4 linked regions of the Elephas maximus indicus genome follow. The protein of the gene in region 3 purifies or fractionates together with the protein of the main gene of each other region. This does not show direct contact. Links are inferred from orthologs where the notes say so. Each region holds a gene or a part of one and is shown on either strand. Other genes may lie near its edges.

Region 1 (7,451 bases), on a different chromosome or scaffold from region 3:
TTTATCTGTCTTTATTTTACTTAAATTGCACTATTGATTTGTTTACTCATATACAGTCTGAGTCCCTTACTAGAATGTAAGGCCTGTAAGAATGAGTTTACTTGATTCAATACTATAAAACCAACATTAGAATGGTGCCTAGCACATGGTAGAACTTCAAGAAATATTTACTAAGTATATGAATGAATAAATAAACAAATGGAGTCAAAAGTCTTAGGCTTCTTCCAAAGTCATTTTCAGTAAACCATATGTAAGTAATATACAATGATAAAGAGCTACAAAGACACCAAAATTATGTACTTCTGTTTCATTTCTTTTCACTTTTCTTTACCTTCTCTTGGAAGAAGCATTCACAGAAATGATCAAAAGGCAGGCAGCCTGCCAGAGAAGCAAAGGGCTTTGGCAATCCAGTAAACAGGTAACAGAGCCTGAATTATGGTCAGAATATACTCTAGCCTTCCAGAGGGTCTTCACTTTGTTCTTCCCTGAAAAGGAAGGCCTTTGCATAAAGTCGAACACTCCCATGGGGAGATGAGAGGCTGGTCTTCAGATGAAAAAACAAAACAAAACAAAAAACCCAAACCCACTGCCTAGGAGTCAATTCCGACTCACAGTAACCCCACGGGACAGAGCAGAACTCCTCCATCTGGTTTCCAAAGAGCCGCTTGTGGATTTAACTGCTGACCTTTTAGCAGTCAAATGCTTAACCACTGCACCACCACGGCTCTAAAGAACCTTCAGATAGCATAGATAAAATAGACTGCTAATTATATGTACAGCAGTAAGTCTACCAGATCTCAACTAGTGGCAATTTTGCCCCCCTGGGGTATCTGGCAATGTCTAGAGACATTTTTGATTGTCAAGATTTAGTGAGAGGGGGTGCCACTGATATCTGGTACATAGGGGCCAAGGATGCTGCTAGACATCCCACCATGCACAGGGGTCCCAAACAACAATGAATTATTCAGACCCAAATGCCAATAGTGCCACTATTGAGAAATCCAAGTTTACCCTTTTCCCTTTACTAAAGAAAGTATATTAAATGCAAGTAATGTTAATATACCCATAACTTCGAATACACTCAAATATAGAAAATTAAATCAGTTAGACTTTAAACCTTTAGTATTAGTAACATATCACTGGTGACATCAAGACTGACACATCAGTATGTCAAGACCTTGCTGTTAACATTCCCTGGTAGATCTTGGAGTTAATATAAATTAACACCTCACCTATAAACTTGAGACTATCTGTAAAAATCAAGTTAGCTAGGACTAATTCAACAAAAAGGAGCCCTAGTGGCGCAGTGGTTAAGCACTGGGCTGCTAAACAAAAAGTGGGCGGTTTGAACCCACCAGTGGCTCCCTAGGAGAAAAAACCTGGTGATCTGCTCCCATAAAGACTACAGCCTGGGAAATCCTACTGGACAGTTCTATGTCACATGGGGTCACTATAAGTTGGAATAGACTCAATAGCAGGCAACAACAATTCAACAAAATCAGAAAGCCATGTAGTCCCCAAGACCAGCCATTTAAACATTACATTGTGTCAACAAGCACACAATACCCATGACATCTCTGGTATTTTTCCTGTGCATCCATTTCCAATTCCACCTTTTCCCCAAACAAATCTTTCCCTCATAGCTCTACTAGCCTCTATCACAGTGCCTTGCACCTAGAAGGCACTTAACTGCCTGTAACATTTACTAAAGAAAACTCTCCAGTCCATAAAGCTCATTCCATCTAACTCTTTTCACTCTTATGGTTTGTGTTGCTCTTCAATCGTTCATATTTGTATGCATTGCTCCCCATTGTCTCTGAAGTCAGACAGTCAGATTTCCTTCTGCATACACCACAACTCCTAGGATGAGTCAGGGCACCCCATTTAAAAAACAACAACAAAAAAAAACAAAACCAACCAAACCAAACCCACTGCGCTCAAGTCGATTCCGACTCATAGCGACCCTATAGCAGTTCCCAAAAGAATCTTCTGAATAAAACATGTTTCGGATTCATAATTGTCATCTGCCAGGAAAAATATCTGAGGAGAATAAGGTGTGTTAAGAGAGCTCAAGTCGATATCCTAAAAGGATTACTTCTAAGGACCAAAAATTCTAAGAAATTCTAAGGTCCAAAATTACAATCCTCTTTGACACTCGACTTTCCTGTTGAATTCGCATGGCAAAGTTTTTCTACTTAAATGGGGCAGCATGGTCGCGCACTAGTAAGGGTTATGTAACTTCTTGGGATCTCCCACTTAGAGCATCTTTTTCTCAAAGGCGGGGACCCTTTACATATGGTTACCAAGGCAACCGCGAACAGCAAAAAATCGGAAGCGGTTCTATCTAGGGAAGAAATTCTAAGGTCCAAAGTTAAAGCCGGGCGCAGCGGCGCATATTAGTAAACAGCGGCCACTGCTGAGGCTAGTTCAAAATCTTTATCCACTTCCAGGCCTCTTTCTTAGGAGACCTTGTTTCGGGAAACGGAATGGACAGAAAGCCCTCGGCAGCAAGCGGACAGAAGTCCGCGTAGTCGCTTCCCGCCGGCTTCGCTCCGCCGAGACAAGCAAGCAACTGCCCACACTCCCCTCTCTTCTACCCAAGCCGCCGACTTGAGGTAGCGGTCTCCACGTCCCCCGCGATGCTGAAGCGAAACACACGTGCGACTCCTCGCATCTGGGCCGGAGAACTATTGGCCACTCCACGGCTCCGGCCTCGGGGAGGGGGCGACCCCAACCCGAGCAGACGCTCGGGAAAACCCACCCTCAGGCGAGGCCTAGTCGCCGCGGCGGCTGGCGGGAGGGCCTAGCCACGGCCTTGGTCTAAGTCGCTCTCTTCCCAAAGCCGGGTCCCCGCCCGGAGAGCGTGGACAGAGAAATGAAAAAGATGGGTCGTCTCAGACCCTTCCGTATCGAGGGCTCGAATCAACAACCCACCTGGTGAGCGCCATCTTCTTCCGCTTCTTCCAGCCCGAGCGACAGCAGCGCGGGGCGGACCTTCCCTGGCGAAGGGGCGGGGAAGGAAGGAGCGCGCAGTGCGCAGCCGCACCTGCCGAAAGGCCTTCTGGGCTTAGTAGTTATTTGATAGGGAGTACAGTTCGGGTCTCTATTTCGGGTCTCTTCTAACCAGCCTAAGCGGTCCTCCTTAGATGATCTCATTAGGAAGAGTAAAGACTTATCTGTACTCTATGATATCATAGGGCGTTCGCTAAGCGAAGTAACAAAGTTAGAGAAAGCTACCTTTTTAGCCACTTTTTCCCCCACTCAGTCCCATCACCGTCGTGTAACACGTTGCCATGGAATTGACTCTGACTCGCAGCGACCTATAGGACAGAGCAGATCTGCCCCATGGGGTTTCCTAGGCTGGGAAGGAGCCCTGGTGGCGCAGTGGTTAAGCTCTCGGCTGCTAATTGGAAGATGGGCGCTTGGCTGCTAACCGAAAGTTCGGCAGTTCGAACCCGCCAGCCGCTCAGAGGGAGAAAGATGTGGCAGTTGGCTTCTGTAAAGATTAGAGCTTTGGAAACCCTATGGAGCAGTTCTACTCTGTCCTATAGGGCCGCTGTCAGTCGGAATGGACTGAAAGGCAATGGGTGTGGTTTGGGAATCTATACAGAAGCAGATAGCCACATCTTTCTGCAGAGGAGCAGCTGGTGGCTTCCAACCTCTGACTTTTTGGTTAGTAGCCCAGCGCTTAACCACCGCTCCGCCAGGACTCCTGTTCCCCTAGATTAAAAAGAAAAAGAAAAGCCCGTTGCCATGCAGTCTATTCAGACTCATAGCGATGCTATACGACAGAGTAGAACTGCCCCTTAAAGTTTCCAAGGAGCGCCTGGTGGATTCAAACTGCCAACCTTTATAGTTAGCAGCCATAGCACTTAACCACTACACCACCAGGGTCCTCCCCTACTGTCCCAAATACAAAAACCTTCAGGTGATAACCACGTTAAATAAAAGGTAACAGGGTTTGAAACAATAGGATAGTCAGAGATTAGCGAATGGAGAGTTCTCGGACGTTCTGAAAACATTGACGTTCAAAACTTTTTCCTTTAAATGCTATCCCCTTCACAAAACCCTCTCCTGGGAAAGGCATTTTGTGATCTTCAGTAAATTACCTTTTGAAAACTCCTGATATACGTAGTATATATGTAGGTATGTTTTTTAGGTACACATAGTTTATGGATTCATAGTGAAATAATAGTATAAACGAAATCTGCTTCAAAATATTGGGAGGAGGAAAGAGTGTGGAGCATAGATGAAACAAGATTAGCCATGAATTTTGATCATTGTTGAAGCTGAGTGATGGGAAAGTGGATGTTTGTGATATTATTCTCTCTACTTTTATATACGTTTGAAATTTTCTGCACGCATACAGAAAAGTGCATACATTGTATGTGTACAGGCCTTTAGATTTTCCCAAACCACAGCAGTGTGAACAGCCCAAGAAGCTTCCCTCATCCTTTACACTCACCCTTCCTCCCAAGAATCCTCATAGTCTTTGATCTTCACGTTCTAGTGTGATAAGAGCATCTTGTACATTTTCTGCCCCAGATCTGGAGTTGGTTCTCTGTCATTTGCAATTGAAGGGAATTTACTAATGTGTTTTCTCTGTGCTCTGATAGTACTTGTGTTTCACCTATTTTTAACAAAGATCACATTCTATAGATTTTGATGGTTTACCTGACTGAGAGGAAGATTAAATCTCTCTTTGTCACCATTGTATCTCTATCATTGAGCCTGAGCAGTCTTGGGCAAGCCTTCACCCCTCACTGGATTTTGGTTTCCTCAGCTGTAAAAGGATAAACCAAACCAAAAAACCAAACCAAAACACCAAACCGGTTGCCATTGAGTCGATTCCAGTGCAAAAGATAGGGTGGGCTCAAATAATACCAGAGATCCTTCTGGTGTCAATATGATTCTAGATACTTTATTTCCTTAGTTTTTAAAACTTCTAAAGAGGTTTAAAATTTTCCCATTCCATGAACTATTGATACATTCAACAACTCGGATGAATTTCAAAGGCATCACTTTCACTGAGTGAAAAAAGCCAGTCTCAAAAGGTTTCTTATTGTACGATTCCATTTATGACATTTTGTGTTGGGGGGGAAGGAATTAGGAATTTTTAGGACTTATTTTTTTTTTATTTAAAATTTTTATTTATTTTGTTGTTGAGAATATACACAGCAAAACATACACCAATTCAAGTTTCTACATGTACCATTTAGTGACTTCGATTACATTGAGTTGTGCAACCATTATCACTCTCCATTTCCAAGTTGTCCCTCCCTTATTAACATAAATTCACTATCCCCTAAGATTCCCATCTAATCTTTCAAGTTGCTGTTGTCAATTTGATCCCTTGTAGATAGTTCTTAAAAGAGCATAAGGCTCAAGGCAGACATTTTTTAGATTTATGTCATTTTTGAAATGACAAAACTAGTGACAGAGAACAAATCCGTGGTTGCAAGGAATTAAGAGTAGGCGGTAGGCGTGATTATTACAAGGGAGTTTTTTTTTTTTTTTTTAGTTGACAGAACGGTTCTGTATCCTGATTGTGGTGGAGGTTACGGAACCTGTAAAACCAAAAAAACCAAACCCATTGCCATTGAGTTGATTCTGACTCATGGCAATACCATGTATTACAGCAGAGCAGAACTGCTCCGTAGGGTTTTCTTGGCTGTAATTTTTATGGAAGGAGATCACCACGCCTTTCTTCTATGGTACCACTGAGTGGATTTGAACTACCAACCTTTAGGTTAGTAGTCAAGCACAAACTGTCGTCATGGATTGAACTGTGTCCCCTCAAAATATGTGTCAAATTGTCTAGGCTGTCATTCCCCATATTGTGGTGTTGTCTTCTGTTTTGTGATCTGATGTAATTGTCCTATGTGTTGTAAACTCTAATCTCTGCCTGTGGTTAATGAGGTGAGATTAGGTTAAGTTACAGAGGATTAGGGTAGGATGTAATACCCTTACTCAGGTCACAGCCCTGATGTAAGGGGAGTTTCCCTGGGGGTGTGGCCCACATCACCTTTTATCTTAGAAAAGATAAAAGGAGAGAGCAGCAAGCAGAGAGAAAGAGAGACCCCAGGCCACCAAGAAAAAGGCACCAGGGCAGAGCATGTCCTTTGGACCCAGGGTCCCTGTGCTGAGAAACTCCTAGGCCAGGGAACAATTAATGACAAGGACCGTCCCCCAGAGACCACATACAGAGAAAGCCTTTTCCAGAAGCTGGGCCCTGAATCTGGTCTTCTTGCCTCCTAGGCTGTGAGAGAATAAATTTCTCTTTATTAAAGCCATCCATTTGTGGTATGTCTGTTACAGCAGCACTAGATAACTAAGACATCTACCCAGGGCTTCCTATGAATCTATACATGAGTTGAAATTCATAGAACTGTATGCCAAAAAAAATGAGTTTTACTATATGATAATTAAAAAAATAAAAATTTAACAATGCCTGGTCTAGCTCTTACTATCCTGCTGTTAGAAAAGTCTCCTTAGCCTCATTCAGCATCAGCAGCATTTTCTCTTTGGCACTGTTTCATGGCACTCTTTGGGTTCCTAGAGCCATAGGAAAGGTTACAGAAGATCAGTATTTTTAAGAAGAGTAGAGGGACAAATGACATACTAGTTTTCTATGCTACGTAACAAATTAACACAAACTTAGCGGTTTAAAACAACATCCATTTATTAGCTCACAGTTCTGTAGATTAGACGGCTTGCACATGGTGACTGGGTTCTCTGATCAGGGTATTACAAGGCTGAAATCAAGACGTCGGCCAGACTGAGTTCTTGTCCGACGTTCTAGAGAAGATCCATCTCCAAGCTCCTTCTTGTTGATTGCATAACTCAGTTCCTTGCAGTTGTAGGTTGGAGGTCCTTGCTTCCTTGTTGGCTGTCAGTGGGGGTGCACTGCCATAGCTTGCTTTTGTGTGGCCTTTCTAGCCATGGTCTTGTAACTCCCACCCAAGTGATTGGGTGAGACTGTGTGGTAGGGTGGGATTGGTGGAAACGAAGGGGATTGGTGGAAACCCTGGTGGCGTAGTGGTTAAGAGCTATGGCTGCTAACCAAAAAGGATGGTAGTTCGAATCTACCAGGCTGGCCTTGGAAACCCCTGGGGCAGTTCTACTCTGTAGTATAGGGTCACTATGAATAGGAATTGACTCCACAGCAAAGGTTTTTTGTTTTTAAAGGGAATTTGTCAGGCTAGCCATCCCACTTGGCTTGAAATGAGCCACCCCAGAGATGGTAAAGAGAAGATCCTACCACCACTAAGGAAGAACAGCCAGGAGCCAAGAGCTCATCTTTTGGACCTGGAATTCCTGCTCTGAGAAGCTCCTGGAACCAGAAGACCGAGAGAGAGCAAGCTGTGACCTTGAAGATGGTGCAAAGTGGTGGCAGGAGACTGCAGTGGGCTTCCAGGCCCACAGAGAGAGAAAGCTAAGTGCCTCTGGAC
Region 2 (7,672 bases), on a different chromosome or scaffold from region 3:
TGAGAACTAAAACTAGTAAAAAACATAATAAATTAACTGATTGTGAGAAAGTAATCCATAAGACTGCCTGTGATCAGTAATTGAAGAGTTTAGAAATGTCTCAAATCCAATTAACAGAAGGATGTACTCTCACGAGGCAAAACTGAAGAGGTTGTAATTTGGTCAGCAGAATCCTTTTCAATTGTCTAGTACAGTATTTAGAGAACGCTTGTGTGAAGTTAGCCTATAAAAATAAAATTGCCAATCTTTACCCAGCACTGTCCAGGGAACAGAGATACAAAATTCAGGGGAAATGGATTTCCTCGTCTTTGAAGAGGTATACTTACTCTGTTGTGGGTGGAGCCCTGGTGGTACAGTGGTTAAAGCGCTCAACTGCTAATGAAAGCATTGTCGGTTTGAACGTATCAGCCAACCCTCAGGAGAAACACGTGGCGGTCTGCTTCTGTAAAGACTTAGAGCCTTGGAAACCCTATGGGGCAGTTCTACTCTGTCCCGTAGGGTTGCTATGAGTTGGAATGGACTCGATGGTAAAGGGTTTTTTTAAATCTGTAGTGGGGCAGGGATCATTTATTAGGTCTCATCATCCATGAATGATTTAGGATGACTCATCTCACTTTGTTCTGGTTCCTCATTTACTAAAGCAACTGTCCGATTTGCCTTCCAGACATGCCAAACCAGTTGTACATTGTTGGCACGTACAATATCAGCATCCGGGTCATGAAAAATAAATATGCCTTACCCCCCAACAAATGAATAAATACCAAAAAACCAAACACGTTGCCATCGAGTTGATTCCAACTCATAGCAACCCTACAGGGCAAAGTAGAACTTTCCCACAGGGTTTGGGTTTCCAAGGCTATAATCTTTACAAAAGCAGACTGCCACAACTTTCTCCCTCGGAGCAGCTAGTGGGATCAAACTGCCAACTTTTCAGTTAGCAGCCTAGTGCTTAACCACTGGGCCACCAGAGTTCCTAAATGAATAAATAGTTTGGTTTATTTGCATTATTGTATGTTGACGCTTGTAGACTGAAATATCTTAATCAACTCCAGGACATGATAACATTAAGATCACCTCCTTAATTGCAGCAATCATCAAGTTAATGTTATCCTAAGAGACCTCTTCCTACCATGCCCTAAGCCCATCACCTACAATTTGGTTAAATTAAAATATAAAAAAGAGGCTAATAGATAAACAACAATACTCTATTCACATCTATTAAGCTTTATCTTGTATTCCTCTGAACCAAACAAAATCAGAAATAATTTCATTAAATTGGACAAACGAGAATAAACCAAAACAAATGCACGGTTTTCTAATTTTTTCGGCATGAAAATGTCTTGAAATTAAAAGCACCCGTACCTATTTACTCTGTATGCTGAGCAAATAATCTGAGAAGCTGAACTATATGAAGAAGAATGGGACATCAGGATCGGAGGAGGACTCATTAACAACCTGCGTTGTGCAGACGATACAACCTTGCTTGCTGAAAGTGAAGAGGACTTGAAGCACTTACTGATGAAGATCAAAGACCACAGCTTTCAGTATGGATTACACCTCAACATAAAACAAAAATCACAACTGGATCAATAAACCACATCATGATAAACGGAGAAAAGACTGAAGTTGTCAAGGCTTTCATTTTACTTGCATCCACAATCAACACCCATGGAAGCAGTAGTCATGAAATCAAAAGATGCGTTGCAGTGGGTAAATCTGCTGCAAAGGACCTCTTTAAAGTGCTGAAATCAAAATTGTCACCTTGAAAATTAAGGTGCGCCTGACCCAAGCCATGGTATTTTCAATCACATCATATGCATGTGAAAGCTGGACAATGAATGAGGAAGACTGACAATTGACACCTTTGAATTATGCTGTTGGCAAAGAATATTGAATATACCATGGACTGCCAAAAGAAGGAACAAATCTGTCTTGGAAGAAGTACAACCAGAACGTTCCTTAGAAGCAAGGATGGTGAGACCGCGTCTTACATACTTTGGACATGTTGTCAGGAAGGATTAATCCCCGGAGGACATCACGCTTGGTCAAGTAGAGAGTCAGCGAAAAAGAGGAGGGCCCTCAACAAGATGGATTGACAGTGGCTGCAACAATGGGCTCAAGCATAACAAGGGTTGTAAGGATGGCGCAGGACCGGGCAGTGTTTCATTCTGTGATACAAACGGTCGCTATGAGTCAGATCCAACTCGATGGGATGGTACCTAACAACAACAACATGAGGGTTCATTCCCTGGAGGATATCATGCTTGGTAAAGTACAGGGTCAATGAAAAAGAGGAAGACCCTCAATGAGATGGACTGACACGGTGGCTACAACAATGGGCTCAAACATAACAACAACTGTGAGGATGGCACAGGACCATGCAGTGTTTTGTTCTGTTGTACACAGGGTTGCTATGAGTTGGAAATGACTCAACAGCACCTAACAACAACATGTTTAAATCACTTCAATTACCACTGATTTAGCACGAATCAAGACAGGCCTGAGTAATTGTACACCAATAGATAAAAATTGGAACAGAAAGAAAAGTGTGCTTAGCAAATAACTGTTAAAAGAACTAATGAGTACATGATAATGCCAAAGAATTTTTTAAAACCCTCTTCTGCTATTAACTGAATGGAAGAGTGCTAGAAACTGAATACATCTGTTGAAATGCTATCTTTTTTAATCAGCCTCTTCTATTAAAAAAAAAAATCAGATTCTTTTTTATTAAAACCTCAGTTTCAAAAAATATTGTTGAAGGACAGCCTGAAGGATAGACAATCTATCCTTTCCTCTAAAATTTTCAGAGGTTCCTTCCCTTTTTTATATCTACAGACCCCTTTAAGAATGTGATTAAAATTTCAAATCCTCTTACTTTTTTTTTTTTTTCCCCCTGAAAAAAGTACATGCACAGCACAAAGAGTCCAAGGACTACTACAGGTCCTCCATGCATCTGCTGAGGATCTACAGACCCAAAGTAAGCATTCCTGCTCACAATATTTCAAACTAAATTTATATTTTCAGATCACTAAGAGCTACGGCTGCTAACCAAAAGGACAGCAGTTCAAGTTCACCAGGCGCTCCCTGGAAACTCTATGAGGTAGTTCTATTCTGTCCTATAGGGTCGCTATGAGTCAGAATGGACTGGATGGCAACAGGTTTGGTTTTTGGTTTAGATAGACATTTGAACTAAGAAAACATGCCCTTCTCCTGTACAATTAATCTATTTTTATATCAAGGCACTTTGGGTTTTGAAAATACTTGTCTACCCTTCTTTACTGCGGCCTCTAGGAAGACCAGAGTGAAATCTGCAGTCTATCTGCAGGCTCTTACTGCAGACATTTTGTGTACTAACCTTATCCGGGACTTCAACTTAATCCCCTAACCCCTTATTTTCCCATTCCCCTGATTTCTTCATCCAGTTTTAATGTTTTATGGTATCCCTGTAAGCTGCCTTGCATCCTTGGGGAGAAGGGCTGTTGTAAATAAATACATAATATGAAGAAAATCATCCTTAAACTTAAGAGTGCAGATCTCTTTTAGCATATTTATCACTGCAGGGCTTTTTATATTTGAACTTATTTCCAACATTTTAAATAAGCCCAACATCTCACATAAAAATTCAGATTTCAGGCGTCTCTAGAAAAATGTAAAAAATTATCTCCCTGAACCAACACTCGAGGAGGATCACAGTCCCAACAACTGTGGTCTCCAATGGGAATGAGTTTAAAATCTTGCATATAATTAATAGGGGAAACTTTTGAAAACAAGATTAACTTCAGGATTTTACAAATACTACTTCTTTCTAGTTCTTTGAAAGGAGGAAAAATGACAAGCACAATCCATTTTTGAAGTATTCATGAGCCTCGCCTCTCCTCTCCGCTAGGCCTAGCAATAGGCCATCAATGAGAGGCGGTGCGGTCGGTGGTTGACACCCTTCCTGGTTGGCAAGTGCCGCCCCTGACTGATCAGGGTACGACCTACACATACCGCCGGTAACAGTTGGCGTGCTGAATCGAGCTATTCAAAGTTAAGTTCTGAGCCGAAGATGGAACGGTACTTAATGCAGAATACTTACTAAGGAACCTGAAATGCACTCCCCTAAATCAGACAGGTGTCTAAACAGCCCATGGCTTATTTGCAAGCAGCGGGGTGGGAAGGCAAGGCTACGCCCTGGCGCTCTATTAACTCCCCAGCGTCGCAATTCCTGGACTAGGCGCACTCTTGCCCGTTTCCGGAGCAACTGGCCGATCCCTCCCCCTTTGACTCCGCCCCCGGGAGTCTTTCCCGCCAAAGGCCGTTAACTTCGCGGAGCATTATGGGACAAGGCTCTAGGCTAGGTTTCACCAAATTCTAGCAAGGCGCCGAAATGCTCCAAAAGAGGCTCATTCCTGGAGACCCTGACTATCCTCGACGACCTGACAGGCATCAATAGCCCCTTTAACGAGTGCTCTGTATTTAATTTTTATCACACAACTTATCACCCCGTTGGCAAACTGCTCCGCAGCTGGGGAGCGCGGGGAACTTTTTTCTCTTCGTGCGGAAGGTCACGTCGCGGGTGCGTATGCGTCCTTTCAAATGCGTCCGTTACGCACTTGCGCGTGCGTATTGAGATCGAATAGCTGCTTCCATCCGCTTCTCTTCCTCCCTCCCCCCCATATCCGTGCGCCGAGCAGATAAAGGCGCCATTTTGGAGGGGCCGCGGGAGACGTGGTGTCGCTGCGGGCTCGCTCTGTCGTGCGCTAAGCTTGGTGGGAAGGCCTGTTCTCGAGTCCGCGCTTTTCGTCGCCGCTTTTCGTCGCCGCCATGTCGGGAGGTGGTGTGATTCGTGGCCCAGCAGGGAACAACGATTGCCGCATCTACGTGGGTAACTTACCTCCAGACATCCGAACCAAGGACATTGAGGACGTGTTCTACAAATACGGCGCTATCCGCGACATCGACCTCAAGAATCGTCGCGGGGGACCGCCCTTCGCCTTCGTTGAGTTCGAGGACCCGCGGTGAGGCGGCATGGGGCTTGCAGTCTTTACGAAATAGGTTGGAATAGTTAGGGGAGGCTCTTTTGAGAGGAGAAAGGCGCTATTGCCCATGCAGGAGTTGAGTAAGGGGTCGAGTCGGCGTAGTTTCTCCGGTGGCTGGGCCCCGTGGATATCTGCGGAGCCGACTCGCAGGCTTGGAGCGGGAAACTGAGGCGCCGGGGGCTGTTGTAGTTGTCGGGAGCCTGGCGTGCTTCTGGGTGGGGGAGGGGCCGTTCCTATTATGTAGCGCATGTGGGCTCTTTGGCCTTCGGTGCGCATGTGCGGGGGGCCGCTACGTCCCGACTGAGTTAGGCTTCCCCTTCCTATTCCTTCTCTCATGCCTTTTGCCTCCTGTGATCACGCAGAGACGCGGAAGATGCGGTGTACGGTCGCGATGGCTATGATTACGACGGTTACCGTCTGCGGGTGGAGTTTCCTCGAAGCGGCCGTGGCACTGGCCGCGGCGGCGGCGGGGGTGGAGGCGGTGGAGCTCCCCGAGGCCGCTATGGCCCACCGTCCAGGCGGTCTGAGAACAGAGTGGTTGTCTCTGGTAAGCTTACTGCTTTTGTGGGTTCATGAAAAAAGGGGCAAGAGCTGCTTTAAAGTTTTCCATGCATGACTGGTTTGACAACTGAAAATTTCATATCAGATCCTTTATTAGTTTTTTGGGTGAGTTTAGTAAGCGTGTATAACTACTAGAAATTCAGCAAAATAGATTGCAGCACTAGAGTAGGAAGATGCGTATTCTTTGCAAATCAGTTCGGATTCTGGATTCTAGAGTCTTTCAAGTACGTTCACTAAGTATTTGTTCTGGTGTACGCTATAAATTTAACGTGAAATTTGGGATAGTATTGAAAAAATAAATCACTTTTCAGGACTGCCTCCAAGTGGAAGCTGGCAAGATTTGAAGGATCACATGCGTGAAGCAGGTGATGTATGTTATGCTGATGTTTACCGAGATGGCACTGGTGTCGTGGAGTTTGTACGGAAAGAAGATATGACCTATGCTGTTCGAAAACTGGATAACACTAAGTTTAGATCCCATGAGGTAGGTTATACACTTAATTCTTTTCTTTGGCCAGAATTGGATACAGTGGTCTTAAACAGTGGAATTTGAAGGTAAGGATTCAGGCAAGGGTGTCCAAGTAAAGTACCAGATTTCTGGTATTAGTTACATTGTATTCATTCAGCATGCCTGAAGACAGGTGAAAACTTAGATGTTTCAATCGAAAGTTCTGTCTATCCAATAGGGAGAAACTGCCTACATCCGGGTTAAAGTTGATGGGCCCAGAAGTCCAAGTTACGGAAGATCTCGATCTCGAAGCCGTAGTCGTAGCAGGAGCCGTAGCAGAAGCAACAGCAGGAGTCGCAGTTATTCCCCAAGGAGAAGCAGAGGATCACCACGCTATTCTCCCCGTCATAGCAGATCTCGCTCTCGTACATAAGATGATTGGTGACACTTTTTGTAGAACCTATGTTGTATACAGTTTTCCTTTACTCAGTACAATCTTTTCATTTTTTAATTCAAAATGTTTTGTTCAGAATGGGCTGAAAAGTGTTGAATTGCATTCTTGTGTAATATCCCCTTGCTCCTAACATCTACATTCCCCTCATGTCTTTGGTAAATTGTATTTTAAGTGATGTCATAGACAGGATTGTTTAAATTTAGTTAACTTTCCATGCTCTTCAGACTGTGATATTGTGTAAATGTCTATTCTGCTCTGGTTTGTGTGAACTGGGATGTTGGGGGTGTTTGTGGTTACCTTACCTGGGGAAGTTCTTATGTTTATCTTGCCTTTTCATGTGTCTTTCTGTAGACATATCTGAAGAGATGGATTAAGAATGCTTTGGATTAAGGATTGTGGAGCACATTTCAATCATTTTAGGATTGTCAAAAGGAGGATTGAGGAGGATCAGATCAATAATGGAGGCAATGGTATGACTCCAAGTGCTATTGTCACAGATGAAATTGGCAGTATTGACCTTATACTAAAAGACAAGGATTAAAAATGATTATATACATCAACCTTAAAACAGTTGCAAACATTTTATGCAGTTACCTTTAGCTACAATTGCTTTGCTCTTTATATTTGGCAATTGTGGCAAAATTACATTGCCCATTTTGTAACAAATTTATTTTGCTCCTTTCCCCCTTTTTTTGTTTTAATAGGGACTAATGTGGGAAGAACTGGCTAATTTGTCATAGTGCTTAGTTACAACTGTTAATGTGTGACCTGCTGTTGGTGTACATGTGGGTACAGGGTGTCTTTAATTCCAACCAGATAGAGTATAATATCAATACTGCTAAATTTGCATGTCCTCTGTGTGACTGATATAGCGTTGCTATTTCATTTTTTTTTTTTTTTTAAGACAAAATGAAAGCAAAATATAGAATTCCAGCATATTGGTGTAGATAATCTAGATGGGAATACTTTGTCTCACCTTTCCCTTTAAACTAATATTCATAATTGATTCGTGTTAAAACACTTTAATTTACAAATTGCAGACGAGAGCATTATTTAGTTTAGACTTAGGTGGGTTTAGCAATACCAGTAAACTTTTCAACTACATAACTCTTTTTGCAACCACAAAACCTGTAATACGCTGTACAGTAACAAGTGTTGGCATTATCAGTTGAACTGTAAATATAAATA
Region 3 (6,874 bases):
TCTCTAACATAACCGTAATACGAACGCCAAGTTCAGGGAATTTAACATGGCACAGTGGTTAAAAGCTTGGTTGCTAACCAAAGGTCATCAGTTTGAATCCACCAGCTGCTCCTTGGAAACCCTATGGGGCAGTTCAACCCTGTCCCATAGAGTCCCTGTGGTTCAGAATTGACTTGATGGCAACGGGTTAATATTGATACAATCCTATTATCTAATACATAGTGCTCATTCAAATTTTATCAATTGTCCTAGTCATTTCCATATGGCAGTTTTTTTTTTTTTTTTTTACTGATCCAGTATTTAATCTAGCCATCATGGTATTGCATCCAGTTGTCATGTCTTTAGTCTCCTTTAATCTGGAACGGTTCCTCAGCTTTTCTTTGTTTTCCATGAAATTAACATTTTTGAAGCATTCAGGTAATTTCTTTGGGTTTGTCTCTCTGATGTTTCCTCATGATTAGGTCCAGGTCATCCATTTTCAGCGGGAATATCACAGACATGATGACTGTCCTCAGTGCATCACGTTGTTTTCTTATTTGTTCTAGAATTGCTAGTCAGAGAGCATGGGTAGATATTTGTTCCCCTTCTGGTTTTAAAAGTCAGAAAAATCATTAAGAAGGAGTGAAGAACACACACATCCAAGTCAGAGTAAAACACATCTGTAAAGCATTGTTAAGGAGTCTCTGTGTGGTGCAAACAGTTCAGTGCTTGTAGCTGAAACGTTGGTGCTTCCAACACACCCAGAGGCTACTGTTCTTATTTAAATTTTTTTTTTTTTAGCATCGTTACTGGTTATAAACATAGGTACCAGGTCAAAAGTTTAGCCCAGAGGAGACAGACCATCTGGACGAGAAAGCAGTGAAGTGATAGGCTAAGGGTATCATGGTGACAGGAATCCAGGCCAAGCTTACGCTGGATGAGGATGAAGCTTTCTTTGGTTAATCAATTTGTCAATCACCATGATGTTTATTAGTACCTAGTATGCGTTCAGAAGCCCTAGCTTGCCTGCTAACCGAAAGGTCTGCAGTTCGAATCCACCAGCTGCTCCTGGGAAACCCTCAGAGGGCCACTATGAGTTAAGAATCGACTCGACAGCAACAGGTTTGGTTTGGTTCAGTATGTGTTCAGTACCATATGTGAATTGGTAGATGGGTAGAAGACATAAGGTATCGACTGAGGCCCTAATATGTGCCAGGCACTTTATTAGCTTTTGTAAACAATATAGGTATAACTCTAATGAGTGGTAGATAATTCCAGTGGGAAACAGATATTAACCAATTAATTAGACAAATAATTACAGTTGTGGTAAGTGCTCTGAATAAGCACTTGAAGAAATACTAGGTTATGAGAATGAAAGGTGAATATGACCTACTCAGGGAAGGTTTCTTCCTGAAAGTGACAATTTGAGATTTGAGAGATAAGTAGGCATTAATTAGTGAACGTAGGGGTGTATCAGTTACTAACAGTTTGGCTGCAAGTAACAGAAAACTCATGTAAATGGTTCAAATAAGACAGAGATTCCTCACCTGTCTTAGTTATCTAGTGCTGCTATAACAGAAATAGCACAAGTGGGTGGTGTTAACAAAAAAATTAATTTTATCACAGTTTAGGAGGCAAGTTCCAAATTCAGAACGCTGGCTCTAAGGGAAGGCTTTCTCTCTCTCTCAGTTCTGGAAGATCCTTGTCTCTTTGGCTTCTGCTTCCTGGTTCCTGGAGGTCTCCATGTGTCTTGGCATCTATCTTCATTTCTCCTGTGTTCCCTTGTTTAATCTCCCTCATATCTCAAAAGAGACTGACTCAAAATACACCCTACACAAATCCTGCCTCATTAACGTAAGAAAGACAACCCATTCCCAAATGGGATTATACCCACAGGCATAGAGGTTAGGATTTACAACACATTTTAGGGGAACATAATTCAATCCGTAACACAACCCCGATAACAGAAATCCACAGGGTAGTAGTTCAGGACTGGTGGGACAGCTACACAGTTGATTATCAGAACCCATCTCTTTCCATCTTTTTGCTCCCTCATCTTAGCACTTAGCTTCCATCCTCAAGGTCACCTCATAATCCAAAATAGCTCCTAGTGTTCTCACCATTACATATACACTTCAGGCATACAGAAGAAGCAAAGGGAGAAAGAAAAGGGTGAGCACCAGCTATCTGTCAATTCCTTTAAGAAGCTCTCCCTTCTATCTAACTGATTACACTTAACTTTAAGGTTGAGAAATGTAGCTTTTTATTTTATTTTTTTATATTCTTAATGACATTTTACCTGATTTAGAAAACAGTGCTTGTATAAAAATTCATACAGAGTTTCTAGAAAGCATTCAATTACCAAAAAAATATCTGGGCTCCTATAATATTCAGGAGCCCTGGTGGCATAGTGGTTAAGAGCTTGGCTGGTAACCAAAAGGTTGGCAGTTGGAATCCACCAGCCACCCCTTGGAAACCCCATGGGACAGTTCTACTCTCTCCTAGCCGGTGGCTAGGAGTTGGAGTCAACTTGAAGGCAATGGGTTTTTTTTTTTTTTTAAATAATATTCAGTTTTCTAAGGATGCCCTCGAATCAATGGTAAAATGTAGATTTTATGTGAGATTTCATTATTTTTGGTAAAGCTATTCTCATTTTATTGATATCCTTTTGGTGTTTAATACCCACTTGGTACAAGTCAGGAAAACATGAAGGCTGGCTCTATATCAAGTATTAATACTATTGTCGTATAGCTTCAGTATCATCTGTCTGCACAGCTAAGGAGGGTGAGAGACTCCCATTAGTCAGGCAAGAGGCAAACATCTGGAGAAAGAGGTGAGAAATAAGCCAACCATATACAGTGAGGCTGTGACACGGTCAGACTAACAACTCTCAGCATTTCAGTAGCCAATCTCCTTCAGGACCAAGGAAACCCCACTGGTTGGCTAATGAGTGCACATATTATCAGGAAGGACCAGTCCATGGAGTAGGGAATCATGCTTGGTAAAATACAGAGACACTGAAAAAGAGGGAGACCTCCTACATACGGATCGACACAAAGGCTGCAACAATGGACTCAAACAGCGACGATTGTGAGGATGACACAGGACTGGGCAGTGTTTCCTTCTGTTGTACACAGGGTTGCTATGAGTCAGAACTGACTCAAAGGCACCTAAGAAGAACATGTATCACAGGTCCCTGGGTGATACAAATGGTTTGTAGCCCTGGCGGTCTGGTGGTTAAGAGCTACAGCTGCTAAACACCGCCCCCCCCCCTCAAAAAGACAGCAGTTCCACTATTCACTGAGTCCGAACCCACTCCACCGCAATGCTTTTTTTTTTTCTTTACTAACCTAAAGGTTGGTGTTTTGCACACCCAGCCGGGCGATCTGCTGCCATAAAGCCTAGAAAACCCTGCAGAGCAGTTCCACTCTATAACATATGGGGTTCCATGAGTTGGCATCATCTTGACAGCAATGGTTTGTGGTTTGTTTCTTTTTTATGCACCAGATATTGTGCTAGGTTTATGTACACGATCTCATTTAGACCTTAGGACAACCCTACGAGGTTGGTACCATTATTACCTCTATTTTATAGATTAGGAAACAGACAAATAGCCTATTGCCTGAGCCTTCTCTGAATAAATTCCTGTTAATTAAACGCCCGATAAAGCGCTAAACTAACAAAATAACAAAGCTCTTTTCTGACCACCTGGGCTGAATTCTTCACGCGTGACATCCCCATCTCCTGCCACTCGGTGACGTCACAACCAACCTCACCACTTATGTTTCCTGCCAAACGCCACACCGCTACTATCTCGCGAGAGTCGCAGTTTCCGCCAACAGGTCCTGAACTCGCGTGCGGCGTAGAGCGCTTTGGCTAGAGAGGTTTGACGATTTCCCCAGGCTAGAGTTTCAACAATGCACTGCTTTCCTTGCAGCCACTCGAGATCTCGCGAGACTTTCTATTCCTGTCCTCCCCACCCCCAGGTTGCGACTGCGCAGATCGCCTCAAAGCAGAAGGTCGCGGTTGGAGGAAGTGGCGGCTTTAGGTCCCGTGGCCCCAGCGCCGTTAGTACTTCTCTGAAGCTCACCTCGGCCGTTTGCCGAGACAGCCCGCCACCAAGATGCCTCGAATTATGATCAAGGGGGGCGTGTGGAGGAATACTGAGGTGAGTCTCCTTTTCCCGCCGTCCGCTGCCCTCCGCCCCCTCCGGCGGCTTTTGCGCACGCGCGCGGGCGTCGGGGCGGTCAGGAAGATGCCCTGCGCGGTCTGCGTCTTCTCTGGGTGCCCCAGCGCTTGCTTTTTGAGCTCCTGAAGGACAGGGACCGTGATTAACCCGACTGAATACCCAGCCCGAGTTCACTGCCAGGCACTTGTTAGGTCCTCACTGAACATTTGCTGAATTTGGAGGCTGCTCCCCGCTCTGGTGGAACTCAGTGTGGAGGGGGAGAATGGGGCATCGGCGAGAGTTGGTTTTTCGGAGCACCTCCTTCTCGGCCTGGGCACCCGCGCCTCTCTCCAGTGCTCAAAAAGAGGAAAATAAAGAAGTGTTGTGGCCACAACTTTGTTTCTTTATTGACTCCCTGGCAGAGAGGAAGCAGCTTGAGTGGCAGGTTCAAGGATCCCGTTTATACCCGTATCCTTCTGGTTATCTGTTATCAAGGCATAACCTGCCTCTTCTCCCGACAGATGCCAAGATCCATCTCGTCCTATCTTCCTGGCACTCCGACTCAGCCTGGATAATAGATAGGACAGACTGTGTGTAGCAGTTTCTGCTTCCAGAACTGTAGTGGATTATGCCATTGGCGAGCCAAAGGACAGTAGAGGAGTGAAACAGAAATAATACTTTAGTGCAATTTGTATTCAGAGCGCTCTGAGTTTATCTCTTTTCGGAGCACATTTTACATTCTGTACCCTCTGCTTCAAATGTCCTCCTACTGCTTGGCACCTTGAGCATTCAGACCTCAACCCAGAAACTTGTTGTAGTCTTTGCCCACTTACCAGAATTAATTGCATCCTCAGTGGTCTCACTGTACTTCTTTAATTAATTTGTTAGCTTGCTTTGTCGTTTTTTAAGGATCATGTCATTTCTTTGTGCTGCTGGGAGAGTTTCTTAACCTCTGAGTCCCACTCTCCTCATTTCTTTAAATAGGAGTGATAATAATATATACGGAGCTCTGGTGGTGCAGTGGGCTCGGGCTCAACGGCGGTTTGAACCCACCAAGTGGCTCCTCAGGAGAAACACCTAGTGATCTGCTCCTGTAAAGATTATAGCCTAGAAAACCCTATGGTGCAGTTCAGCTCTGTCACATGGGGTCACTAAAAACCCCAAAACCCAGTGCTGTCGAGTCGAATCTGACTCATAGCGACCTTATGGGGTTACTATGAATTCAAAATCCACTTGATAAACCAAACAACAGTACCTAGCTCTTTAGGATTAAATAAGTTAATACATTTGGAAAATTTAGAACAGAGTCTGGCAGATAGCACTGCAAGAGGACAAGGACTAGGTCTTAGTGTTCCTTGGATCTAGGCCAATAACCAACATGAAGTAGGTAGCTTGGCAAATGTTTGGTGAGCGAAACTAGGGGGGTAAAAGCGGTTGCCGTGGAGTTGATTCAGAGGCATGGCAACCCCTTGTGTGGTACATAACTGCTATATATATAGTTAGTTGAAGATGTGTTTAAGTACAGCAGTACTGTAACAAAGTTCCAAATGAAGTCAGTGAAAAGCCTGCCTGACAGCTTGCACTGAGGGAACCAGGCTATTTAAAGTGGAGAAGAGATGACTTCTGGAGGAGAGACATACGTACAAAATCAAGTAACAACAGGCTTCCTATACAGTGCTCAAAGCCCTGCAGTCTTTTTTATGTCTGATGATGAAGAGGGGGCACAGTGCGGTGGCTCAAGCAGAAGGCATGTAGCTCAGGTTGAATGTGGAAAAAGTCCTAAAAGTAAAATGACCCAAATGCATTCATTCATGACTGCATTGTCCCTGGATTCTCTGGCTCAGCTTGCCAGGTGGCTCAGCATAGGGACCCTGTGGAAATAGTATCTAAGAGACTGGGGGAGGTTGGAGAGAGAGCTTACTGGTGGGGTAGGGGAGAAATATGTACTTCTTAGGTTAGATCTGGGACATGGATTCTTGAGTCATGGTGAGAGTTAAGGACTGGAGAGTAAATGTCATGGATTAGCAGGAGTCAGGAGGCCTGGACTGAAGAATGGATTCACTCGAGTCTTGATTTGCTTCTTGAGCGCTGGGAGGTCTATTTAATTCTTTTTCCCCATGTATATAGGACCTAGTACAAGGTTAAGTGTTCAGGAAATGTTTTTTGAGCTAACGAATACATGAATGAGCTATACCCTTTTGAAGAGAATAATGGTTACACATTGGAAGATACTTTTAACCTACCAAGTATGGTTTTTTGGATTGGACTGTTCCCACTCCCAGTTTATGGGGATGGGAGAATGTGCATGTGAGGGAAGGTGGGATGTTCTTCTGATGACCTTCTTAATTTCTTGGATTTTGCAGATTCTGGCTTGCTGTTTATCATTATAGTAAATAAGATGTTAGGACCTCTTTTTTTTAAACCTAGGATTTGTAGGTGTGCATGTATGTATCCTTTTCCTTGAAATTTTTCAGCAGCCCTGACAGTTAATTTAAATTTTGTCTTTTCTCATTTGGACTTTAGTGATTGAATGTATTATATTTCTTTGACAATTCTTTTAGGATGAAATTCTGAAAGCAGCAGTAATGAAATATGGGAAAAACCAGTGGTCTAGAATTGCCTCGCTGCTGCATAGAAAATCAGCAAAACAGTGCAAAGCCAGATGGTATGTACCAGTTAATGAATAGAAAACAAAACGACCTTAATTATGATGAGGGAAAATGTCAG
Region 4 (7,314 bases), on a different chromosome or scaffold from region 3:
CAAAGAGATGCACTCACATGTTGGCAGAATCTTTAGGATTACCACCAGGTCAGCCACATTGTGTCCTGTGGTCATTGTTCCCTTTTTATATGATCCTACCTGTCGGACTTCTTCAATTTGCTGTTGGAAAAGGGATTGCGGAAGAAAAATTTAGAAGAAAAAAGTCTGCCTTGTTCTTTTTGGAGCTCTATTACAACAAGCTTCTTTATTACCCAGATCTGGATGCAGCAGAGATCAAATCATATCCCCAAAACAACCACATGAGAGCCTGCTAAATCATGGATAACTGATAACGATGGTATGTGTCTCATTTCCAAGATCAGTACTACAAAGGAATGCCACTGTACTCTTCCACTTTAGGCTGGGATTTGGATAAAAGGCAACTGAAGAATTCAGACAGGAGCCAAGGAAACATCCATGGTACTAAGCCCGCCCTTTCCTAGAACTAAATCAACAAAAACTCACCACTTCAAATGTCCCTGGGGCCACGATCAAATTGTCAATCACATTGTTTATTTTTGTCACCAGAGAAAGGATAGAAGCCTGAAAAACAGCATGAAACAAAAATAACCTAAAGTGAAAAATTACAGTTTCTCAAGGTTTGAGTATTTTTCTCTAATCCCTTCTATACAAGCTGAGTCGGTACGAACATTAAAAAAAATCCCATTGCTGATGAAGTGATTCCAACTCATAGCGACCCTATAGGACAAGGCAGACCTGCCCCATAGAATTTCCAAGGAGCATCTGGTGGATTTGAACTGCCAACCTTTTGGTTAGTAACCAAGCTCTTAACCACTTCACCACCAGGGTTCCAGTACCAACATAAGGGCTTTAAAAACAATTTGACCCTGCTGGCCTTCAATATGCCAGAACAAATTTTGATCCCATAGATTCCCCCAATAAAAATCTGACTGCATATATAATCTGTTCATGTATTCACCTGGCTGTTTCCACTCATATGAGAAATGAGAATAATTAAACCTTCTGCAGGGTTTAGGCTTTGATAAAATTATTTTTAAACTCACCCATATCTACTTTTCTAACCTTCTCAGGGAAATCTCAGAAGGGAAGCCAAGAGAACATACCTGTTCAGCAGAATTGGGAGCAAGGTCCTGATTCCTCTTCAGCAAGGCCTCACTGAAGGATGTTTCATCAGGTGCTGGCTTGACCCGGGGGAAGGCCATTTCACACTGAACCAGAAATAAACAACTATTACATGTTCTATTTACCAAAAATGATATACAGGAAAGACTTATTTCTGCTGCTACAACAGAAAAAATGAAAATAGAAAATTCGGCACTTGGTTTTATTCCTGAAGATGTTAATACACGGATACAATCTGTAAGCAACAGCCATAATTTAAGCTTAAACTACCTTATTATTAACAGATAAGCCAGGAATACAATTAATTATCCAAAATAAAGATTATAATCATATTACTGACAACAGTAGCCAAAGAATTCTCTCTTCACCCTGCTGACAGTTTATGTGAAGCAATCTACAAAACCCCATACCCATTCACAGACCCCTTTTCCTACTCTACCCACCATTTGACTTCATTACAGGGAGATGTTGGGCTCCATCTCTACATCTACAGATAAACTGTGGCCAAGAAACTCATATTAACCCAAAGTAGTACTCACCAAATAGAAATCAAATGGGATATGAGGCACAAAGGGCCTGAACCTAAAACAAAAAAAAATAGTCTAAATTATTCACAACATAGAAATCAAATCAAATGAGATTTCTGGCACAAGCCAAAACAATGTTTTTATGTTTCCTTCCAAAAATTTGGTTTTCTAGCACCTCTTACATGCTGAAATCAAGAGGTACGTACATCTTTTAGCATTCCAGAGGTCACTGAGCCTCCTAAACATATAAAACTTTGAGAGAAAAAAATGATCACTCAAAATTATAATTGCATACTGCACCCCAACCTTTCACCCAACCACTGACAACTGGTAAATATGATCATATATCGTGGTTATAATGTATGAGGAATTTTGAAAACATGTCTGTCCTCCGAATCAGTGAGAGTCTGCTGGGGGGTATCCTTGTTAGGAAAGTGGGGTCAAACTCATCATTTAACAGGACAGCATGTATTGCTAAACCATAGATGGACCTCACAAAAGCGGACCATTTACTCTTATTTAGGTGTTTCAAACAGGAACCAACCAGTGCAAAGATGTTAAAAACTGGCACTCACCCTCCTCCTGGACCACCTCTGGAGCCAAAGCGCCCACCCCGACCACGGCCTCTGTCACCCCTAGAAATGCATAAGAGGATTTTATTTTCTCTTGACTTCAATGAAAGCATCTCCACTCTACCAGCCACATCATTTCAAGCTAGCCTGCCTCCATCGCTCTAAACCTCCCTTGGGAAGTCAAGCGACCCCCATCCCAATCATTTACACTTCTCCCCCAGCCCCTCCCCTAGGACCTCCTCATTCTGGATAATCACAACCCATACGCCAGGTAATGACGGGGCCCAGATACCGAGGCCCTACGAGAAACACACCATAATCCCTAGGACACGCCAATCCTAATACTTCTGGGACTATCAATAACATAGGCGCATATACTCTATCAAGCACTTGGCATTGAGGATGAATGCGACACGTTCCAGCCTGCTCAGTCTCAATGGGGGGTACTCCTCCCGGGACCTGAGCACACCCCCGTTACCTAAGCCCCTAAAGGACGAAGGTGTCAAACCCGCCTCCCCACTTCCAGGACCCACCCCATTCCCAGGCCCCAGTTTCCCGACCCGACCGGCCTCCGACCCCTCCCCGTCTTCCAGGACAGGAGTTATCAGGTCGTAGGCTAGCCCTCCGATATGCGGCCTCTTCAGCTCCTCCGACTTCCCCAAAATTCCAGTCAAATACTGAAAACATTCCTAGGGCACCCTGGCCCCCTTACCTCATGGCGCCCTAAATCCCGAACAATGGAGGCCACACAAACCGCCTCTTCCCTCCCGAGGAGCCAACAACTGTGGAGGCCGCTTGCCGGCGTGTCCCAACAAAACCCGGCGCGATTGGCTCCCGCCTTACCCCATCGCTTACGCCTATTGGTTTATCCTGGCAAACCGGAGAACCAATTAAAAAAAAAGCATGGTGTGTCAGGAATCAGCCAATAAGAGCAGGTTTAACAGCAAAGGCTACAATTTTTGAACAGACGCTAGATGGCGCTGTGCAACAAATCAGACACCCCCCCCCCCCCCCCCCCCCAGTACATTGAAAACTTTCTATATGAGTTTTGTGACACAGCCTTACCAGGTAGCAGAGTGGCGCAGCGGAAGCGTGCTGGGCCCATAACCCAGAGGTCGATGGATCGAAACCATCCTCTGCTATCCGGAAGCTTTTTGATTGCCCCAGCAAGAAGAATTTGCGTTATTTCAATTTCTTTAGTAGATGTGAGCTTCATGTTTCTAATTTCTCCTGCCTCAAAAATGCGGCATTCGGAAGCTGTGTTTAACACTAGCAAGTGAGATGGGGATTTTAGCTATTTCAGGCAGCAGTGCAGAAAGCTAGAAACTTGAGACAAGAGAAGCTAATTTCAGAGAGGAAAAACCCTGAATGGTGAGGGATTACAAAGAAAACAGAAGCACGTCTTGGAGAGATGACTCAGATGATGGGACCCTGGGAAGCGGCAAGGAGAAAAGTAGCGAACCATCCCTATTCTCCAGCTTCGCTCCAGTTCTCGCCTCACTTTACAAATTCTCTGGAATATTTCATCCTTCAACCAGGTTTCGTCAACAACATGTACGGATTTACTGTATTTGCATTTAAATCCATCGTATTACTATGTGCTCTCTGTTGTCTCACCTGTAATCCCTTTTCTCCCCTTTCTTGCCTTCTTTTGCATTCATAGAGTAACGTTTATTATTCCGTCCCTCCCTCCCCCATCAATTGAAAATTACATACATTTTTTTCTACTTCTTAATGTTGAGTAATGTATTATGCCCATGTAACCACCACCCAGGTTAAAACAAAGAACATTTCCATGACCTCCGAAAATCACTTCACACCCCTTTGCCCTGCCCCTAGAGGCAATCACTATTCTGATCTCTATTATTATGGATTAGTTTTTGTCGGTCCTTGAACTTCATATAAGTGGACTTATACTGTATGTACTCTTTTATGCCTGGCTTCTTTCGCTCAACTCGTTTTGAGATGCTCGCACAGATTTGCATTGATCAACAATTTATTCTTTTTTATTTCTGAATAGCATTCCCTTGTGTAAATATATCACCATTTGTTTATCCATTCTCCTGTTGATGATGTCAGGACCGAAAACAGGCTGAGACATGCAAACACTTTTGGGTTGTTTCCATTTGAGGTCATATATGTAAAGCTGCTATGAACATTTTTGTAAAAGATTTCTTGGGGTCCTATACATTCATTAATCTCGGGTAGGTGTAGGTGTGTATATGTACAGTATTTAAATTCTATATTTTAAGTCTCAGAAGACTTTAATACTTATTTATTAAATTAATGGTCATTTAGAGGAGCCCATATGTGTGCCATTTTAATGCTCTTTATACCTTCCTGCATCTCCAACCTTCCATCTGGGGTAATACTCCTTCCGCCTGAAGAATACCCTTTAGAATTCAGTGCTTCCCTACTGGTGGCTGACTCTCTTGGTTTTGGTTTGTCTGAATATATTTTTATTTCACCGTTGTTACTGAAGGATATTTTCTCTGGGTATGGAATTCAAGCTTGAAAGTTATTTTCTTGCAGCACCTTTACAATATTATTCTACTGTCTTATGGCTTCCATTTTTTGCTGTAGAAAAAACACTTGTCAGTCTAATTGCTGCTCCTTTGAAAGTAATCTATCCTTTTTTTTTTCTTTTTTAAATATTTTTTCTTTGATTTAGTTTTCTACAGTTTTATTCTGCTGGGTCCAGGTATGGATTTTCTTTTTCTTAACCTTGTTTGAGGTTTGTTGAGCTTCAAGAATCCATGGCTTGACGCCTTTCATGCATTTTTAAACTTCTCAGCCACCTCTCTCCAAATATTGCTTCTACTCTATTATTTCTCTCCTTCCTGAAATTCCAAGTAAAGGTGTGTTGGCCTTTCTCACAGTATCCTCTATGTCTCTTTCATGTTTTCCTTTTCTTTTTTGTTTGTTCGTTTGTTTTCCATGCTTTATTCTGGGTAGTTTCTTCTGTCCTTTCTTCCAATTCACTAATTGATCCTCAATCAAGTCTAACCTGCTGTTAAATGTATCGATTGATCCTTAATTTTGGCTTTTGAATATTTTGGTTCTGGATTTTCTACTTACTTTTTTTTTTTAATAAAAGCTCATCTTTCATGAAATAAGAATCATTATATAGCTTTTAATGTCAAATCAAAGAACCATACTATTGGAAATACAGCACTGTCCCATTCCCACAAAAGTAATCTATTTACTTCAGGTTAACTCTTCTCCTAAATTTCCCCTAGGAGTCCAGCCTTTCGGGGTCGGTCCTAACCTAAAACAGGAAGGTAGTTTACCAGAGTCCTCACCTTTGGGGATATTTGCATTCCAATTTTTGTCTCACTAGCCTTACCACCTGTCTGTCACTTTGTCATATTGTGGTGACTTGCATGTTGCTGTGATGCTGGAAGCTATGTCACGAGTATTTCAAATACCAGCAGGGTCACCCATGGTGGTCAGGTTTCAGTGGAGCTTCCAGGCCAAGACAGACTGGAAAGGAAGGCCTAGCAATCTACTTCTGAAAATTAGCCGGTAAAAATCTCCTGGATCACAACAGAATAGTTTCCAATATAGTGCTGGAAGATGAGCCCCCTAGGTTGGAAGGCACTCAGAATACACAGTGACTGCAACAATGGACTCCAGAATGCCAAGGATCGTGAAGATGGTGTAGGACCGGGCAACCTCCTATTCCATTGTAGATGGGATCGCCATGAGTCAAATCCACTGAAAAGCAGCTAAGAAAAACAACAGCCCGCCAGCCTATTTTCTGCCACCAGTTCTGGATCAGCAAATGAACCCAGGGCAAAAACAGCCCTACAGCTGGGCTCAGCTCTTTGTTTTCTTGTCCTTTCATCTCTCAGACCAACAATTCCTCACTATCTTATTAGTTCTTTGATTTTTGAAAAAATATTTCTTTCAGCACTTGTAGTTGTCTCCAGCTCAGTTATTTAGTCCAGCGATATTGAAAGAGGAGCTCAATAACCATATTTTTCGCAAATAACCTGCACACCTAAATAACGTATCCACACATATAACGCACATACTGCCTAGGAAAATAACGTGCAAGGGGGTTGCTCCGTTGGCAAAAACATAATACGTGCATCATTTGCATAACAACTCAGGGCTAAACTGTATATCTAGTCCAGTCATTTCTTCTGACTCCAGCTCCACTAACCTAGTAGCTAATGAGACACCTCCATTTGGGTATCCACAGTCTTCTCAAACTCAACAGACTAAAATTGTTTTCATCCCCACCCAGCCTCAGTTATTTGTAAACTGTCTTCCCTTCCCAAAAATCTAATTGATTCTACTTTTGAAACATCTCCTATCTACCTCCACTGCCTCTGGAGCCCCCCTTACAGGATACAGACATTAAGCAATCCTTAGTCTATCACTGTCATGGATTGAGTTGTGTCCCCCAAAAATGTCTGTCAGCCTGGCTGGGCCATGAGTCCCAGTATTGTGTGATTGTCCACCATTTTATGTGATTTCCCTATGTGTTGCAAGTCCTATCACTATGATGGAATGAGATGGATTAGTGGCAGTTATATTGATGAGATATACAAGATTAGATAGTGTTTAAGCCAATGTCTTTGAAATATAAAAGAGAGAAGCAAGCAGAGAGACAGGGGAACCTCATACCACCAAGAAAGCAGCGCCAGGAGCAGAGTGCGTCCTTTGGACCTGCCGTTTCTGCACTGGGGTGCTCCCAGACCAAGGGAAGATTGATGCATCACAAGGACCTTCCTTCAGAGCCAACAGAGAGAATCTTCCCCTGGAGCTGCGCCCTGAATTCGGACTTCTAGCCTAGCGGACTGTAAGAGAATAAATTCTCTTTGTTAAAGACATTCACTTGTGGTATTTCTGTTATAGCAGCACTAGATAACTAACACAGTCACACAAAAGCTTTCAGGGTCTGCCCTTAGCAGCAGCTTCTCCTCCTCAGTCATTCCCGTGTGCAAACACCTTACGTGCTAGGTCAGTCTGAAAACAACTCCTACCATGACTAGGCAGGTGATGTGAATGAGTGAAGCAGGGTAGGAACTTGGATGAACTAGGCTCATCCAAAGGAGCTGAGGAGTAATTTGTTCCAGTTGATTGATTATGGGGGCTGCAGG

The links.
Region 1: the proteins of CDC5L (region 3) and SNW1 purify together in Homo sapiens (affinity purification with mass spectrometry; 5 studies listed by BioGRID and IntAct, with this or other methods). This does not show direct contact. The link is inferred for Elephas maximus indicus from reciprocal best matches to the Homo sapiens genes CDC5L and SNW1.
Region 2: the proteins of CDC5L (region 3) and SRSF1 purify together in Homo sapiens (affinity purification with mass spectrometry; 4 studies listed by BioGRID and IntAct, with this or other methods). This does not show direct contact. The link is inferred for Elephas maximus indicus from reciprocal best matches to the Homo sapiens genes CDC5L and SRSF1.
Region 4: the proteins of CDC5L (region 3) and ILF2 purify together in Homo sapiens (affinity purification with mass spectrometry; 4 studies listed by BioGRID and IntAct, with this or other methods). This does not show direct contact. The link is inferred for Elephas maximus indicus from reciprocal best matches to the Homo sapiens genes CDC5L and ILF2.

Annotation. Positions count from the first base shown.
Region 1 is NC_064828.1:90,536,248-90,543,698, forward strand, and holds the start of SNW1 (SNW domain-containing protein 1), read right to left. Parts: upstream 3,009-7,451; 5' UTR 2,949-3,008; coding exon 2,935-2,948; intron 1-2,934. UniProt on the Homo sapiens protein: Involved in pre-mRNA splicing as component of the spliceosome. As a component of the minor spliceosome, involved in the splicing of U12-type introns in pre-mRNAs.
Region 2 is NC_064837.1:36,040,924-36,048,595, forward strand, and holds the start of SRSF1 (serine/arginine-rich splicing factor 1), read left to right. Parts: upstream 1-4,669; 5' UTR 4,670-4,806; coding exon 4,807-5,000; intron 5,001-5,383; coding exon 5,384-5,568; intron 5,569-5,893; coding exon 5,894-6,066; intron 6,067-6,268; coding exon 6,269-6,463; 3' UTR 6,464-7,672. UniProt on the Homo sapiens protein: Plays a role in preventing exon skipping, ensuring the accuracy of splicing and regulating alternative splicing.
Region 3 is NC_064819.1:108,943,904-108,950,777, forward strand, and holds the start of CDC5L (cell division cycle 5-like protein), read left to right. Parts: upstream 1-3,864; 5' UTR 3,865-4,102; coding exon 4,103-4,147; intron 4,148-6,708; coding exon 6,709-6,812; intron 6,813-6,874.
Region 4 is NC_064821.1:191,504,744-191,512,057, forward strand, and holds the start of ILF2 (interleukin enhancer-binding factor 2), read right to left. Parts: upstream 3,023-7,314; 5' UTR 2,921-3,022; coding exon 2,916-2,920; intron 2,267-2,915; coding exon 2,207-2,266; intron 1,687-2,206; coding exon 1,644-1,686; intron 1,191-1,643; coding exon 1,086-1,190; exon of another isoform or gene 1,053-1,085; intron 544-1,052; coding exon 466-543; exon of another isoform or gene 217-465; intron 121-216; coding exon 18-120; intron 1-17. UniProt on the Homo sapiens protein: Chromatin-interacting protein that forms a stable heterodimer with interleukin enhancer-binding factor 3/ILF3 and plays a role in several biological processes including transcription, innate immunity or cell growth.